Stegostoma tigrinum: one gene and its partner. The main gene of each other region encodes a partner of the protein of the gene in region 2 in a complex. Links are inferred from orthologs where the notes say so. Each region holds a gene or a part of one and is shown on either strand. Other genes may lie near its edges.

What was found. The genes of interacting proteins can lie anywhere in the genome.
Region 1: sarnp (region 2) and thoc7 share a complex: the UniProt entries of both Homo sapiens proteins name them as parts of the transcription/export (TREX) complex. The link is inferred for Stegostoma tigrinum from reciprocal best matches to the Homo sapiens genes SARNP and THOC7.

The regions. Positions count from the first base shown.
Region 1 is NC_081364.1:48,290,714-48,298,486, forward strand, and holds the start of thoc7 (THO complex subunit 7 homolog), read left to right. Parts: upstream 1-4,299; 5' UTR 4,300-4,359; coding exon 4,360-4,399; intron 4,400-6,626; exon of another isoform or gene 6,627-6,750; intron 6,751-7,773. UniProt on the Homo sapiens protein: Component of the THO subcomplex of the TREX complex which is thought to couple mRNA transcription, processing and nuclear export, and which specifically associates with spliced mRNA and not with unspliced pre-mRNA.
Region 2 is NC_081404.1:18,536,940-18,545,391, forward strand, and holds the start of sarnp (SAP domain-containing ribonucleoprotein), read left to right. Parts: upstream 1-4,921; 5' UTR 4,922-5,020; coding exon 5,021-5,059; intron 5,060-6,626; coding exon 6,627-6,726; intron 6,727-8,452. UniProt on the Homo sapiens protein: Binds both single-stranded and double-stranded DNA with higher affinity for the single-stranded form. Specifically binds to scaffold/matrix attachment region DNA. Also binds single-stranded RNA. Enhances RNA unwinding activity of DDX39A.

The sequences.
Region 1 (7,773 bases), on a different chromosome or scaffold from region 2:
TTCCGTGATAAACACACTGCCTTTTTTAGATGCTGTCTTTATCTCCTTAAAGTAGCTAAATGATAGGACAGAGTCTATTAGGGTGCCTGTAGACTACTCCCTATCAGCTTTTTCTTGCCCTTGTTGTTTCTTACTTCTACCCATTTAGATGTGGCAGATGGATTTTAATACAAGCAAGGTTACCCATTTTTGGATTGCAAAAGAATAGACAAGGGTATTTTTTTTATAAGGCATAAATTTAAATACATTGCCTGATCAATGAGATTTAGGGATTGAGGTGCATCGATCTTTAAAATGCCACGAATAAGTGCAGAATTTAGTCAAGAAGAGTAATGGAATGCTGGTTTTCATACTAAGGGGCCGAAATATGGTGATACAGACGTAAGGCTGCAGTTATACAAAACAAAAACAAAGTTGCTGGAAAAGCTTAGCAGGTCTGGCAGCATCCACGAAGGAGCAAACAGAATTAACGTTTCGGGTCCAGTGACCCTTCACAGATGCTGCCAGACCTGCTGGGCTTTTCCAGCAACTTTGTTTTTGTTCTGATTTACAGCTTCCACAGTTCTTTTTGTTTTTATGCAGTTATACAAAACCCTTGGTAAATCCCATTTAGAGTACTGTCAGCAGAACTGGGCACCATGCCTTAGGAAGGATGTTTTGGCCCTGGATGGAGTTCAGCACAGGTTTAAAAGGATGATAACTGAACTTCAGGAATTCAAATTATGATGAGAGATTAGACAAATTAGGCCTTTACCTTCTAGAATTTTCAAGGTTAAAAGGTGATCCACTCAAGGTCTTCATAAAGATAAACTATTTCCATTGGTTGCAGGTTCAACAACTGGGGACATAGTCTAAGAATTAAACTAGACCATTCAGGAGACATGTTAGAAACTACTTCTATATGTGATGAGTAATAAAGTTTGGAACTGTCTTCCTCAAATGATGTTTGATGCTAATTCAATTGTTAAATTTAATAAATCTGACAGAGACAATTTATTTTAACAAGCAAGGGTATCAAGAGATTTTGGGTCCCAGGCAGGCATATGGAATCAGGCTATAGATCAGCCATAGTCTTATTGAATGGCAGAGCAGGGTCAAGGGGCTGAATGGTCTAGTCCTGTTCCTACTCTACAACTATCAATTCAAGATAATTTCTTGCTATTGTACTTATTCCATTTCTTCTTAAAAATCCCAAATGCCCTTTTCTTTCTGTCTGTTTGAAAAATCACATACCCTTGAAAATTTAGCTCCCAGCAATGATTTCCTTGAAACCATGTCTGTGTGATGCCAACAAGGCAATACCCATTAACTGCTATTTATACCGTTAATTCACTTATTTTGTTTTTAATAAAGAGCTGTTAATTTTGAAATAGCTTCCAACATGGACCTGCACTGATTTGCCAACTGGGGAAGGGTGGTAGGTTGTAATTAGCAGCTTGTGTTGGACTGATCCAGGGATAGTGATCAAGAGCCTGGGATACTGGCTGTAACACATGATTTGGCGAGCATAATCATCAGAGACTGTTGATTAGGCTGTGCGAAAAGGCATTTTGGTACATATTGTCACTTGTTGGTGAAGGAGAACTTTGGTTGTGTGTCTTTTGGTTTCTGACGTTATTCCCCCTCCCTCATCACCAACCCCTGTCCCTCTGTCATGTCCCCCAACCACTGACAACCCCTCCTTCTGTCATTCCAGCCCCCGACTGTTGTCTCCCCACCTTCTGTTGTTAACTCCCTCCCTCTGTCATTACCCTCTCCCTGTATTACTTCCCCTCCCCTCCTTCATCGCCCCCTCCCTCTGGTCATTCCCCCTTTGTCCTTTCCCTCTATCAATAACACTTCCCTTCCCTCTTCCCTCACACCCTCCCTCTGTCATCCTCCTAGATGAATATATCTAGATGAGAACGCCACTACTGTTACAGACTTCATTAGCAAATGTGTAGAGGACTGTGTGCCAAAGAAGTGAATCTGAATGTTCCCGAGGTGGAAACAACAGATGAGCCGGGGATCCATTGCCTACTGAAATTCAAGTGTGTCGAGTTCAAGTCAGGTGGCCCTGACCTTTACAGGAAGTCCATATAGAACGTCTGTAAGGCCAGAAGAGACACTTGAAGGCAATATCGGACTAAGCTAGAGCCCCAAACTAACCACACAGGCGCCCACCATTTGTGGCAAGGCCTACACAACACAACAGGCTACAAAATGAAGCAGAATTAATAACTGATGAAAATACACCCCTCCCTGCTGTGCTCAATGCACTTTATGCTCGTTTCAAACAGAAGGCCAGCGAAACGGTGTCACCTGCCCCAATAGACTCAGATGCATGTGTTCCCTCCGTCACCGCTGCAGCTGTCAGCTCGGCCTTCTTGAGAGTAAACCCACTAGAAGTGACTAGCCCAGATGGAGTCCCCGGCTGTGCACTTGGATCCTGCGTGTAAATCCTAGTGGAAGAATTAGCTTGGAGACAATCAGGATTGCAGATACTGGAAGCTGGAACCAATAAACGTGAAGCTGGAAAAGCACAGCCAGTCACACAGCAACCAAGGAGCAAGAAAGTCAATGTTTCAGGCCAAAACCCTTCATCGGGACTCACGGAGAAGGAGTAATCACTGACATCTTTAACTTCTCCTTAGTACAATCTGAAATCCCCAACTGCTGCAAGAAGACCACCATCATCCCAGTGCCAAGGAAAATTCATGCAAAGTGCCTCAATGATTCATCCATCGTTTCCGGTTGGAGAACATACAGATTGCCTTTTTTGGCATGCAGTCGTTTATACACTTGCTTATGAAGTCTGTATCGGTAGTGGCAAACTCATCTAGGTATTCTAGTTCTGACCTCCATAGTCAATGGCTCATATAAACTGAAGCCTCCCAGGCTGCCTTGATCCCTTGCAATTCGCCTTTTGTCCCTACAGGTCTACATTAGACACCATTTCCCTGGCACTACACTCATCCTTGGAACATCTGGACAACAAGGTTACCGATGTCAGACTCCCACTTATTGATTACAGCTCTGCCTTCAACACTACAATTCTAACCAAATTAATCTCTAAATTCCAAGACCTGGGTCTCTGTTCCACCCTCTGCAATTGCATCCCCAACTTCCTGACCCACAGACCGCAATAAATGAGAAAATGCAGCAACACCTCCTCCGTAACAATCGTCAACACCGGTGCCTCACAAGGCTGCGTAATCAGCCCCTTACTATACTCTCTGTTACACGCACGGCAGTGTGGCCAAATTTCATCATAACTCCATCTACAAGTTTGCTGATGACACCACTGTTAGATCTCAAACAATGATGAGGCAAAATACAAGTAAGAGAGAATGCTTAGTAGTGTGGGTAAAGATAACAATCTCTCCCTCAAACCAAATGAAAGAGCTGGTCATTGACTTCAGGAAGCAAGATGGAAGGCATGCCACCATCTACATCAATGGAGATGAGGTGGAAATAATTGGGAGCATCACGTTCCTAGGTGTGACAATCACCAACAATCTGTCCTGGTCCATCTACGTTGATGTGACAGTCAAGAAAACACAAAATGCCTCTATTTCTTCAGGAGGCTAAGGAAGTAGCAATCGGTAGTAGATTCGCCAACTTTTAGTACATTTAAGTCATCATTGGACAAGCATATGGACGTACATGGAATAGTGTAGATTAGATGGGCTTCAGATCGCTATGACAGGTCGGCACAACATCAAAGGCCGAAGGGCCTGTACTGTGCTGTAATGTTCTATGAAATTTGCCATGTCCATTAAGACTCTTACCAACTTTTACAGATGCACCACAGAAAGCATTCAATCTGGATGCATCATGGCTTGGTGCAGCAACTTGTGTGCCCATGACCATAAGAAATGACTGAGTTGTGAACATGCCCAGTCCATCACACAAGACAATGACCCACGCATTGACTCTACCCACACTTCTCACTGCTTTGGAGAGGCTTGCCACCATAATCAAAGCGACCTCCCACCCTGGTTATAACCTCTTCCAACTGCTTCTGTCAGGCAGAAAATACAATAGCTTAAACACATGTACCAGCAGGTTCAAGAACAGCTTTTTTCCTGCTGTTATTCGACTCCGAATGGACCTTTCAAATTTAATGTTGACCTTTCTCTTTGTGCGCCTTCTCTACAGCCGTAATACTGTATTCCTCTCAGGTCCAGTACCCTTGTCGTACGATCTACCTGCACGACATACGATAATAATAAATAAAATACCTCCACTCCCCACTCGCCCCCGGACTCCGCCTCCCGATCTCTACGTCAACATGACTCCGCCTCCCGAAACCCCCCACCCCCAAATACCTTGACTCCACCTCCCAAACCTCTGACCCCGCCTCTTGGTGCGCCGCGGATGTTTGCTCGGCCTGGAGCCGCCATGTCGGTCACTGATGGTAGGGCCTGTTTCCTTTCCTAGTTGTGCGCTGCCTGGACCTGAGGCTTGGGCCCTGGACCCTGCTTTCGGGCACTGAGTTGGGGGAGCGGTGCGATTGTCGTGTTGAATCGGCTCGTTGTTGTTTCAGCCGGTCCGTGCTGGTGGAGCCCGGGTCTCTGCCGGCTGGATCCTCGGGTCATGATTCTGATTAAGTTCCGGTTAAACCCACAGGCAGTCGGTTATGTGATGGAGTTTTAAAGAGACCAAGTAGTTCGCAGAGGTGGGAGTGGAGTAGGGACCTTGCCAGAGAACAAAGTATCAGTAACTGAGGGCGGAGCAGCAGAGGATATGGTCAGTGGGCCCTTCACTCTGTTCTGCTTTGGACCTATCCCTGACACCCGCACTTTGCAAATAAACATTTACAATCAACAGGAAGAGAAGGATCTGTCCCAGCCTTTACGAGAAGGGCGGAGTTGATATGGCTTGATGATGGCGTCTATAGCTTCCCCGATCCTTCTTTGATCCATGATAACAAGGTGTAGAGCTGGATGAACACAGCAGGCTGAGCAGTATCAGAGGAGCAGGAGAGCTGACATTTTGGCCTAGACCCTTCTTCAGAAATTGGTCAGACACTGCTCTGTGGAACTATAACCGAGAAGTGTGAGGACAATTTCCATACATAGGTCAATGTCACCTTTACTCCTCACGTTCTTCCCTTGATCTCAAGGCTCTTGCTTCTCATCGTGGCCAAAATGTACTCCACGTTTAATGTTAGCAAAGCCAAAAAAAACTTTGTCTTCACTTTAGTCAATATCTATTTGCATTTGGCCATGACTTACCAGCTGGTTGCTTTCAAACCTTTGGTCGTACAACTATGCTTGGCAAAGATAAGCATCATTTCCCACCTTCTGTTGAGACTGCATTATTTCTGACACTCTTTATCCTATTGTTACCAAATGCAAATGCTTGAGGCTGGACTTGTCTAGTATTTTCCCCATCTTGCCTCCACCTTCTACAAATTATTCCTAATGAAGTAGACTGTGCATTGTTTGCTCAAAATCCTATTCTTATCACCCCTGGGAATAACTTCATGATTCTGATCTTTACTTGCTGATTCTTTTATTTGTTTGCTATACCTTAGTGCAGTAATTACTTTTAACTAAATAGCTGACACACTCTGGATGTCAGCATACCCGACATCAAGTGAACCCAGATAGCTCTGTTGGTATGTTACGCTTTTAAGCAGGGTTTTTTGTGGTGCAATGGTAGTGCCTGTACTACTGAGTTAGGAGACCTGCTTTCAAGTCCCACCTGTCCCAGACATGATTGAACAGGTTGTTTAAAATGTCTACTCTTCATCTAGAGATGTGTTATAGATTCATAGAGTCGTACAGCACGAAAACGAAAAACTAGATGCTTCGGTCCAACCAATTTATGCCGAAAGTCATCCCAAACTAAACCAGTTTCACCTGCCTGTTCCTGGCCCATATACTTCCAAACCTTTCTTATTCATGTACTTACCTAAGTGTCTTTTACATGTTCTATTTGTGCCCACATTCACCATTTCCTCAGGAAGTTCATTCCACACAGGAACCACCCTATTGTGTTTTTAAAACAAGTGCCCTCCATGTCATTTGTAAATCTCTCCCCTGTCATCTTTAAAAATATGCACCTTAATCTTGAAATGCATGACCCAGGGAAGAGATACCTACATTTAACCTTATCTCTATACTCCTCGTGATTTTACAAACCTCCAAAAGATCACCTTTCAACCTCCTCCATACTTAACTATCTTCAGATCCCAAACCATCTTTCCTTTTTACCCTTTCCCCATAAAGGTGCTATTAATGTCTGATATATCAAGTATGTTGAATTATTTTAGTCTTAACTGTAAAAAGATCATTGACAAAAGTTTAAATCTCACCAAATAATTCAGTTAACTATTTAGAGACTTTTGAATTGAACTTCATATGCACTAAATCTATGATGCAAATTCAGATGTTTAAGATTCCCTCCTGCACAGAGTTTTGTCACTTTTGAACTTTATTATACTTATCATAAACTGTCCTAAGGTGCTTCACAGGAGCATTATCAAAATTTGATACCAAAGCTCATAAGGTATGAGGACAGGTGACCAAATGCTTCTTTAAAAGATAAGTTCTAAGGAATTCTAACATTTTCCAGTTCTTCCCTTCTCTGCTGCCTTACATACTGAGTGTTTCTAACTTTTTCTGTATTTGTTTCAGACTTCCAGCAGCTGTGCTATTTTGATTTTATGCCAAGTTTAAGGAGCATCTTAAAGGAGGAGGAGAGAGTTGGAATGGTTTACGGATGGAATTCCAGAGCTTAGGGTGGAGTGATTAAAATCAGGTGTGCATAAGGCAGAATACGGAAAAATAATGAGATCTCATAGGATTGTAGTTCTGGCAGAAGTTGTAGACACAGGGAGAGGTGGAAAACTGAGAAACGTGAAAGCAAGGATAAGCTATTTTTCAAATTGTGGTGTGGCCAGACTGGCAGTATAATGACGCACAGATATAATAGATACCTGATGGCTGAATTATAGTGCCACTTAGGTGCATTGTAACTTTAAAAAAAAGTGTGGCAACGAATTACCATGTGTGCATTCATGAACATCATTTATATATTGGAATTTGCCTATCAAACCTATTTATCAAGCAGTACTTGCTGACTAGCAATAATGTTGGGTGTTTGCTTTTTTTTTCAGATGCGTGTTAATTTCAACCTTTACTGTAGGCTTCATGAGTTTGCTAAGAACTGAAGTGAAAATAGATAGCTTGTAATTTTCCTGGCGTTTCTCAATCCATTCTGCTGAAGAGAGGCATTATTTGACTGCTTTGCTCTTGTGCTGTTAATGTTTCCTGCAAGATTTTGGAAATCATAGTCACAGTCTTTGTGACTCTCAGTTACATTTTTCTTTAGCTTTGCTCAGGATGTAAATCATGTGATTTGTTCATATTAAATCTGAGTAATTTAAGCATTATTTCTCTTTGCATTGTAAACTCCTCTAATCCTGCTTGAACACAATTCAAGCTGAGGCTCCAACGTCATATTGAGGGTGTGCTGCCTTTAGGTAAGGTTATAGGTGAGAACGAAGCTTTAATGGAGCAGAAACATTGGGCTGAATAGGTAGTTTCTGTGCTGTTAGAAATAGGTCAACTTATGTTAACTGTTCTACAACAATCTTTGTTAGTTCCTTGTATTCACCTCTTCTGTAATAACTGAAGCAAAATATATATTTTGTATCCCTGTAATTCTTTCCTTCACTGTCACACATTTTGTCATTTGACCTATTACGCATGTAAGCCTACTTCGGTAGCAATCTTTTTTCAATTTAATTTGAACAAAATGCTCTGAAGCTTTTGATTTTTT
Region 2 (8,452 bases):
CTGTTCGGCAGATGAGTTGGACTGAAGGATCGGTTCCTGTGCTGCATGACTCTATGTTAGAAATGGTGATATTAGGGTAGCAAGAGTGCTACTGCAGGTAGTTTTGAAACATACCTCATAAATGGGAGTGTTCATTTGTGGGATGTGGGTGTCACTGGCTGGCCAGAATTTCGTGCCCATCCCTTAGTTGCCCTTCAGAAGGAGTTGGTGAACTGCCTTCTTGAACTGCTGCAGTCCTCCTGCAATAGGTTGACCCACAATGCTACTAGTGAGGGAATTCCAGGATTTTGACCCAGCGACAGTGAAGAAATGGTGATATATTCCCATTCAGGATTGTGAGAGGCGCGTCGGAGAACTTGGAGGTGGTGGTGTTCCCATATGTCTGATGTCTTTGTTCTTCTAGATGGAAGTGGTCATAGGTTTGGGGATGTCTGAGGATCTTTGGTGAATTTCTGCAGCACATCTTGTAGATAGTACACACTGCTGCGACTGAGTGTCGGTGGTGGAGGGAATGGATGTTTGTGAATGTAGTGCCAATCAAGTGGGCTGCTTTATCCTGGATGGTGTTGAGCTTCTTGAGTGTTGTTTGGGCTGCACCCATCTAGGCAAGCGGGGAGTATTCCATCACACTCCTGACTTGTGCCTTGTAGATGGTGGACAGACTTTGAGGAGACAGGAGGTGAGTTACTTGCTGCAGTATTCCTAGCTTCAGGCCTGCTCTTATAGCCAATGAAACACAACAAAAAGCACTCGCATTTATAAAGTGCTTTTTGTATACACAGGTCATTCCAAAGTACTTCACGGCCAATTAAATATTCTTGACGTGTAGTCATTGCTGTAACGTTGTAAACACAACAGCTAAATTGCACAGTAAAGGCTCACAAATATCCAGCAGATGTTGATTTGAGGATAAATATTTAATGAGGACATCAGGGGAACTCTCTAGTTCTTTATATTAGTACCAAGGGATCTTTTATGATCACCTAAGTGGGCAGATAGGACATTGAAAGACAGCAGCTTCAATACTGCAGCGAGCCATGCATTCATGTGAAGCTTAAATTGACAACCTCCTGACACAGGTGAGAGTGTACTGAGTCAAGGCTGACATTGGGCAGCAACCACATTGAGAAGTTCACAATATACTACATCTATTCTGAGGTGAAATTACAATATGTCAGGCATTGTGGCATTAGAAACCAGAATCCTCTCTGATTTTCCTCCTCCCCAGTGCAGGGAAATTGGCTAAGATCAGCTAGGACAGCTGCCACTTACAGTTTTAGCATTTAATACAGTAGCTCTCCAATGGTTTTGTGAGAAAATGCATAAAGGTACCACTTAAATATCTCTAGTAATGATAAGAAAGTTTGCATTAAGGCACTTTACCTAAATGCTTGTAGTATTCGCAACAAAGTAGGTGAATTAACAGCACAAATCATCTTGAATGATTATGATGGGTAGGCATCACAGAGACGTGTTTGCAGGGAGTTCAGGACTGGCGGTTAAACATCCAAGGATTTACAACTTATTGAAAAGACAGGGAGGTGGGCAGAGGGGGCGGGGTTGCCCTGTTAGTTAAGAATGAAATTAAATCTATGGCACTGAATGACATAGAGTCATATGATGTGGAGTCTGTGTGGGTGAAGTTGAGGAACCACAAAGGCAAAAAAACTATAATGGGAGTTATGTACAGGCCTCCTAACAGTGATCAGGACCAGGGGCACAAGATGCACCAGGAAATAGATAGGGCATGTCAGAAAGGCAAGGTCATGGTGATCATGGGGGACTTCTATATGCAGGTGGACTGGGTCAACAATGTTGCTGGTGGATCCAAAGAAAAGGAATTCATGGAATGCTTACAGGATGGCTTTTTGGAACAGCTTGTGATGGAGCTCACAAGGGAGCAGGCTTCCTCAACCAACGCCTCCTCTATTTATTCAGCCACTTCCCCCAGAACTCAAGGATGTAGCCCATCAGGGCTAGGAGATTTATGAATTTTTAGACCTTTTAGCTTTTCTAGCACTTTCTCTTTTGTAATGCCTACCGTACTCAACTCTGCCCCCGACTCTCCTTAATTGTTGGCATACTACTCATGTCTTTCACTGTGAAGACTGATGCAAAGTACTTATTAAGTTCTTCAGCTATTTCCTTATCTCCCATCACAAGCCTTCCAGCATCAGTTTGGAGCGGCCCAATATCTACTTTTGCCTCTCGTTTGTTTCTTATGTATTGAAAGAAGCTTTTACTATCATTTCTAATATTACTAGCTAGCCTACCTTCATATTTGATCCTCTCCTTCCTTATTGCTCTCTTTGTTATCCTCTGTTTGTTTTTGTAGCCTTCCCAATCTTCTGATTTCCCAGTGTTCTTGGCCACTTTATAGGCTGTCTCTTTTTCTTTGATATATTTCCTGACTTCCTTTGTCAGCCATGGCTGTCTAATCTCCCCCCCACCCCCGCCGGATAATCTTTCATTTCTTTGGGATGAACCTCTGTACTGTGTCCCCAATTTCACCCAGAAAGAGTTGAGTATGGTAGGCATTACAAAAGAGAAAGTGCTAGAAAAGCTAAAAGGTCTAAAAATTGATAAATCTCCTGGCCCCGATGGGCTACATCCTCGGGTTCTGAGGGAGGTGGCTGAGGAAATAGCGGAGGTGTTGGTTGTGATCTTTCAAAAGTCACTGGAGTCAGGGAAAGTCCCAGATGATTGGAAAATTGCTGTTGTAACCCCCTTGTTTAAGAAAGGATCAAGGCAAAAGATGGAAAATTACAGACCGATTAGCCTAACCTCGGTTGTTAGTAAAATTCTAGAATCCATCGTGAAGGATGAGATTTCTAAATTCCTGGAAATGCAGAGTCAGATTAGACAAGTCAGCATGGATTTAGTAAGGGGAGGTCATGCCTGACAAACCTGTTAGAATTCTTTGAAGAGGTAACAAGTAGGTTAGACCAGGGAAACCCAGTAGATGTTATCTATCTAGACTTCCAAAAGGCCTTTGATAAGGTGCCTCACGGGAGGCTGCTGAGTAAGGTGAGGGCTCATGATGTTTGAGGTGAGCTACTGGCATGGATTGAGGATTCGCTGTCTGACAGAAGGCAGAGAGTTCAGGTAAATGGCTCTTTTTCAGAATGGCAACCGGTAACAAGTGATGTCCCTCAGGGTTCATTGTTGGGGCCGCAGCTGTTCACTTTATATATTAATGATCTGGATGAAGGGACTGGGGACATTCTGGCGAAGTTTGCGAATGATACGAAGTTAGGTGGACAGGCAGGTAGTACTGAGGAGGTGGGGAGGCTGCAGGAAGATTTAGACAGTTTAGGTGAGTGGTCCAGGAAATGGCTGATGAAATTCAACGTGAGCAAATGCGAGGTGTTGTACTTTGGAAAAAAGAATACGGGCATTGACTATTTTCTAAATGGTGAGAAAATTCATAAAGCCGAAGTACAAAGGGATCTGGGAATGCTAGTCCAGGATTCTCTAAAGGTTAACTTACAGGTTGAGTCTGTGATTAAGAAAGCGAATGTAATATTGTCACTTATCTCAAGAGGGTTGGAATATAAAAGCGGCGATGTGCTTCTGAGACTTTATAAAGCTCTAGTTAGGTCCCATTTAGAATACTTGTTCCAATTTTGGGCCCCACATGTCAGGAAGGACATACTGGCGCTGGAGCATGTCCAGCAGAGATTCACATGGATGATCCCTGGAACGGTAGGTTTAACGGACAATGAATGGCTGAGGATCCTGGGATTGTATTCATTGGAGTTTAGAAGGTTGAGGGGAGATCTAATAGAAACTTACAGGATAATGTATGGTTTAGAAAGGGTGGACGCTAGGAAGTTGTTTCCATTAGGTGGGGAGACTAGGACCCATGGGCACAGCCTTAGAATTAGAGGGGGTCAATTTAGAACGGAAATGAGGAAACATTTCTTCAGCCAGAGAGTGGTGGGCCTGTAGAATTCAATGCCATGGAGCGCAGTGGAGGCCGGGATGTTAAATGTCTTTAAAGCAGAGATTGATAAATTCTTGATCTCATAAGGCAGTAAGGGCTACGGGGAGAGTGCAGGGAAGTGGAGTTGAAATCAGCCATGATTAAATGGCGGAGTGGACTTGATGGGCCGAATGGCCTTACTTCCACTCCTGTGTCTTATGGTCTTATGACCAAATGGTCCCAGTATTAACCCCAGCTTGTAATGAGTTGTTTGACCTCAGATAGCGAAGTACTGGGTTAAAATTGGCCTCACCAGCCCGAAGCAACGGAGGGAGGTATCAGTCAGAGTTGCTCCCTTTGATCACTCTCCAGTGAACTGTGGTAGGGAATAGGTTTGGACAGTACATAAGGACAAGATTAAGCTTCGTTCCGAAGCCCACAGGTTCCAAGTGCTGATACTCATGCATTAAGAATTCAGCTTCAAACTTTTATCCAGTTCAGAAGTGGTAACTCAATTAAAAACATCGCCAAATGTTCTCACAAGACTGGTCCACTTGCAAACGTAAATGTACAACAGGTCTGCACACGTACAATCTTTACAAAAAAAACACGACAGGCTGTTTGGTAAAAGGTTTTCCTTTCTGTGCTTGCCATTTCCACAATTTTCTGTTCATTGACACAAATAAACAAAGATGAATGGATTAGCAATTGCAGAAACAGCTCTCCTTTCTGATATTCATCCTTGAAGATTACTGAATATCTGGTGGTTATTCCGATGAAGATGGCCACCAAACCACTCACTGGCAAGAGTCGCGTATGATAATTTTCCATAGGATTTATTGTCATCGCTCTCACCATAATTGTGCATAATTTTAAAATTTCAATCTAACTAGTATTTGCTGTTAAACGTTGGGCAATATATTTGTAAGTTTTTGCTGTATTAATTTATTTCTTTTTTCTCCTTATTCCGATAGTAACGGCATATTGAACACACCCACCCCTGTCTCTTTTGAGCCAATGGTGAGGTAGCTTGTTGATCAGTGAGTAAGGCGGATGCCTATTGGATAGGTGGTGAGCGGGTAAGAGTCTGGCAAGATGGCGGACAGAACGGCGGTGGATATCAGCAAATTGAAGGTAAAGGGAGTTTAGATAGGGATAATGTGTTCGCCGTTAGAGCGAAGGTTTTGTGATTTAGTGACTATTACGTACTTCACTTTTTCTGTTCCGATTCTGCTCAGAAATTCTCCTCTGGAGACCCGTAGAGTGGGCTATATTTTCCCTCCTCTTGAAGGTGGGGTTGCTTTTTCCTCCCCGTGCTAGTCTAACATTCTTCGAACGTTTTAAGCAGCTTAGTCGTGTGGGACGTGTTTTGAGTGTCACATTGAAAGGAAACGAATAAGTTTCCGGAATGGCCGATTAACTAAGTGCACCGCCCATGGATCACATAGAAATAGGAAACCGTGCCCCCGCACGGTTATTTGGTCTGAACTGGGGCTGTTTGTTCCGTTCTAAAGATATTTCAAATGGGTTATGGCTCCACGAACATCTGAACAAGTGGACGAAACGTTTAAGAAAAGCAGTCTTTTTTTAAAAATGCTGTAACTAAGGAAGCTGTATAAAAGCTAACTTGCACAAACCGTTGCTTGATCCACTGCTAAACCATCTTTCTGGGTGCTTAAAATGTACATTGAAGGCAAAATTCTGTAGATTCGCACTCATAGAAGTTGGGGAAATTTATAACGCAGGACGCAGAAATTGGAGCAAAGAACTTGAGCCATTTTGAAAGTTTTATTTTAAATTGGCACTGGATCCTAGTGTTATGAGTCAGAAAAGGCTACCCTATCGTTGCACAATTGATGGGTTGTCAATTTTAAATTCCCATAAGGAGAACAGTACTGGGATTACTTTGGGATAGGTAACTGATTGTGAGAAGAAAGTGAAGTTACTGGAATGGTTTTGGATTGATTCAGCTAAGAACTAGCATAAATGTGAAAAGGAAAGATGTGAAATTCATGTTGATTTTCAAAGAATGTGGGGCTGATTTGTACAAGGAGTGTAGAAAGTTGAAATGCATGTACAGCAAGCAATTAAGAATGCAAGTGGCATGTCCTTTTATTATTTGAGGATTGGAGTGCAGCAAACAAATCCTTGCTTTAATTGAACATGGTTTTGAAACAAGGTATGTGCAGTTTAATTTCCATTTTTAAGGGAGATTATACTTGTGTGCAGAGGCAGTACAGCAAAGGTTCACTAAATCAGTCATGGGGATGAGGGGATTGTCCTGTATTGAGACTGAATAGTTTGGGCAATGTTTACCAGAGTTGAAAAGAATGAAAGGCGCTGTCATTGAAAGGTACAAGATCCTGAGTAGACTCTGGGTAGACAGATTATTTTCACTGATTGGGGAGCCAAAAACATGGTGGCTTACTTTCTGGATAAGAGAGTAACTACTTGGGGCTAGCTGAGGAGAAATTGCTTCACTTGAAGGATTGTGAAGGTTTGTGGATAGATGGATTTTTGATGCCTTGGAATCAAGGGAATGGGGAGCGACCAGGAAAGGGAGTTGAAGCCAAAGATCAACCGCATTGTAATGAATGAAGCAGGCTGACCCAGCCATGTAGTCCACTCCAATTTCCTGAATCCTTTCTTTACTGAAAACCTCCATGGTTCTGACTATTTGTTTGTTCTCATTGTGCTTTAGTTGACTGAACTGAGACAAGAATGTGCTTCACGGGAGCTGGATACTAAAGGAAACAAGCAAGATCTCATCCAGAGACTGCAGGCTTACCTGGAAGAACATGGTAAAATCATGATGGATATTTAATCTCAAACAATTTATTTTTAATAAATAAAATTACTTAGGAATTTATGAAGAGTTGTGGATTTCTTTCATTACCATACATATGCTGACTTTGGCACATTTAAGATTGTATTTTACAAATTATTACATAGAATTCAGAATAATAAATTAGCTGAGTGCTGGATGAAACAGTTGCCATTACAGGTAATTGTCTTTGTTAGAGAGTCAGAGATTATACAGCAGAGAAACAAGTCCTTTGGTTCAACTTGTCTCAATGACCAGATATCCGAAACTGATCTAGTCCCATATGCTTGCATTTGGCCCATTCCCCGCTTAAACATTTCCTATTCATATACCCACCCAGATGTCTTTTTAAAATATTGTAATTGTTCCAGCCTCCTCCACCTCTTGTGGCAGCCTGTTCCATCCATGCTCCACCCTCTGTTGCCTCTTCAGTCCCTTTTAAATCTTTCCCCTCACCTTAAACCTATGCCCTGTAGTTTTAGACTCCCCCACCCTGGGAAAAAGACCTTGTCTATTTGCCCTATCTATGCCCCACATGATTTTATAAACCTCAGCCAGTGCTCTGGGGGAAAAGCGCCAGCCTGTGTCAGTTGATCAGAGTGCTTGAGTTGCATCCTTATGTTATTTGATTACCACTTTTTTGAGAGTCTTAAATTTTGTGCTTTAGTTTTGCTGTAATTTCAACAATTACTGTAGTTAACTGATTAATTGCTATCTTTTCCCTTCAACTTGAAGTTGACTTTTTTTTGCAGATGTGTATCTAGTTGCGCCTTGAGCAATGTGCACACCCCCTCTGATTCAGGTTTTTGGAAACAAAATAGGTGCACTGTGTGTGTAGATTAAATAAATCTACGTATTCCACGGAAGTGGTTCACTTCTGTCTATCAAACGAGTGAAAGGCAAGTTTAGGACTTTGCGATAATAATTGACATCACAAATTGGCATTCATTTATGATAGTTAATGCAAATATTTTGAAATTAATTGACTTGTAGAAGCAGTTGGAGACTTTCATTGAAAATACCTCCACACTTATTTAGAATGTTCTAAAGTAGGCCAAGATACTTCCCTGTACTGTATTCATCTTGTCCTTGTGTCGTGTAGTGCCAGGCATTCAGATTAGACTGCAATTTCAGTACCTGATCTCTGTTGAAAATTACCACTTATAATTCAGGTTTACAGGCTTTTTAAAACTTTTTTTGGTTTAACCTTCAGTTTGCTATATGTGATTCTTTTCCTGTGTATTTTTTAATTATATGATGTTAAAGTGTACACTTTTTTCTTCATTCTTTCATGGGATGAGGCTGTTTCTGGCTAGGCAGCACTTATTGCCCATCCCTAATTGCCCAGAGGGCAGTTATGAGTCAATCACATTGCTTTGGGTCTGGAGTCACGTGTAGGCCAGACTAGGTCAGAATGGCAGTTTCCTTCCCTGAAGGACGTTAGTGAACAAATGGGATTTTTTGACAATTGACAGTGGCTTCATGGCTATTCCCACTCCACCACCACCACCCCTCCAATGGTTATGGTAGAGGATTTTAATTTTCCAGATGTAGACTGGGACTGCAGTATTGTTAAGGGCTTGGCTGGAGAGGAATTTAAGTGTGCACAAGAAAACTTTGATTCAGTATGTGGATGTACCTCCTGGAGAAGGTACAACACTTGCCCTACTCTTGGGGAAATAAGGCAGGGCAGGTGACTGAAG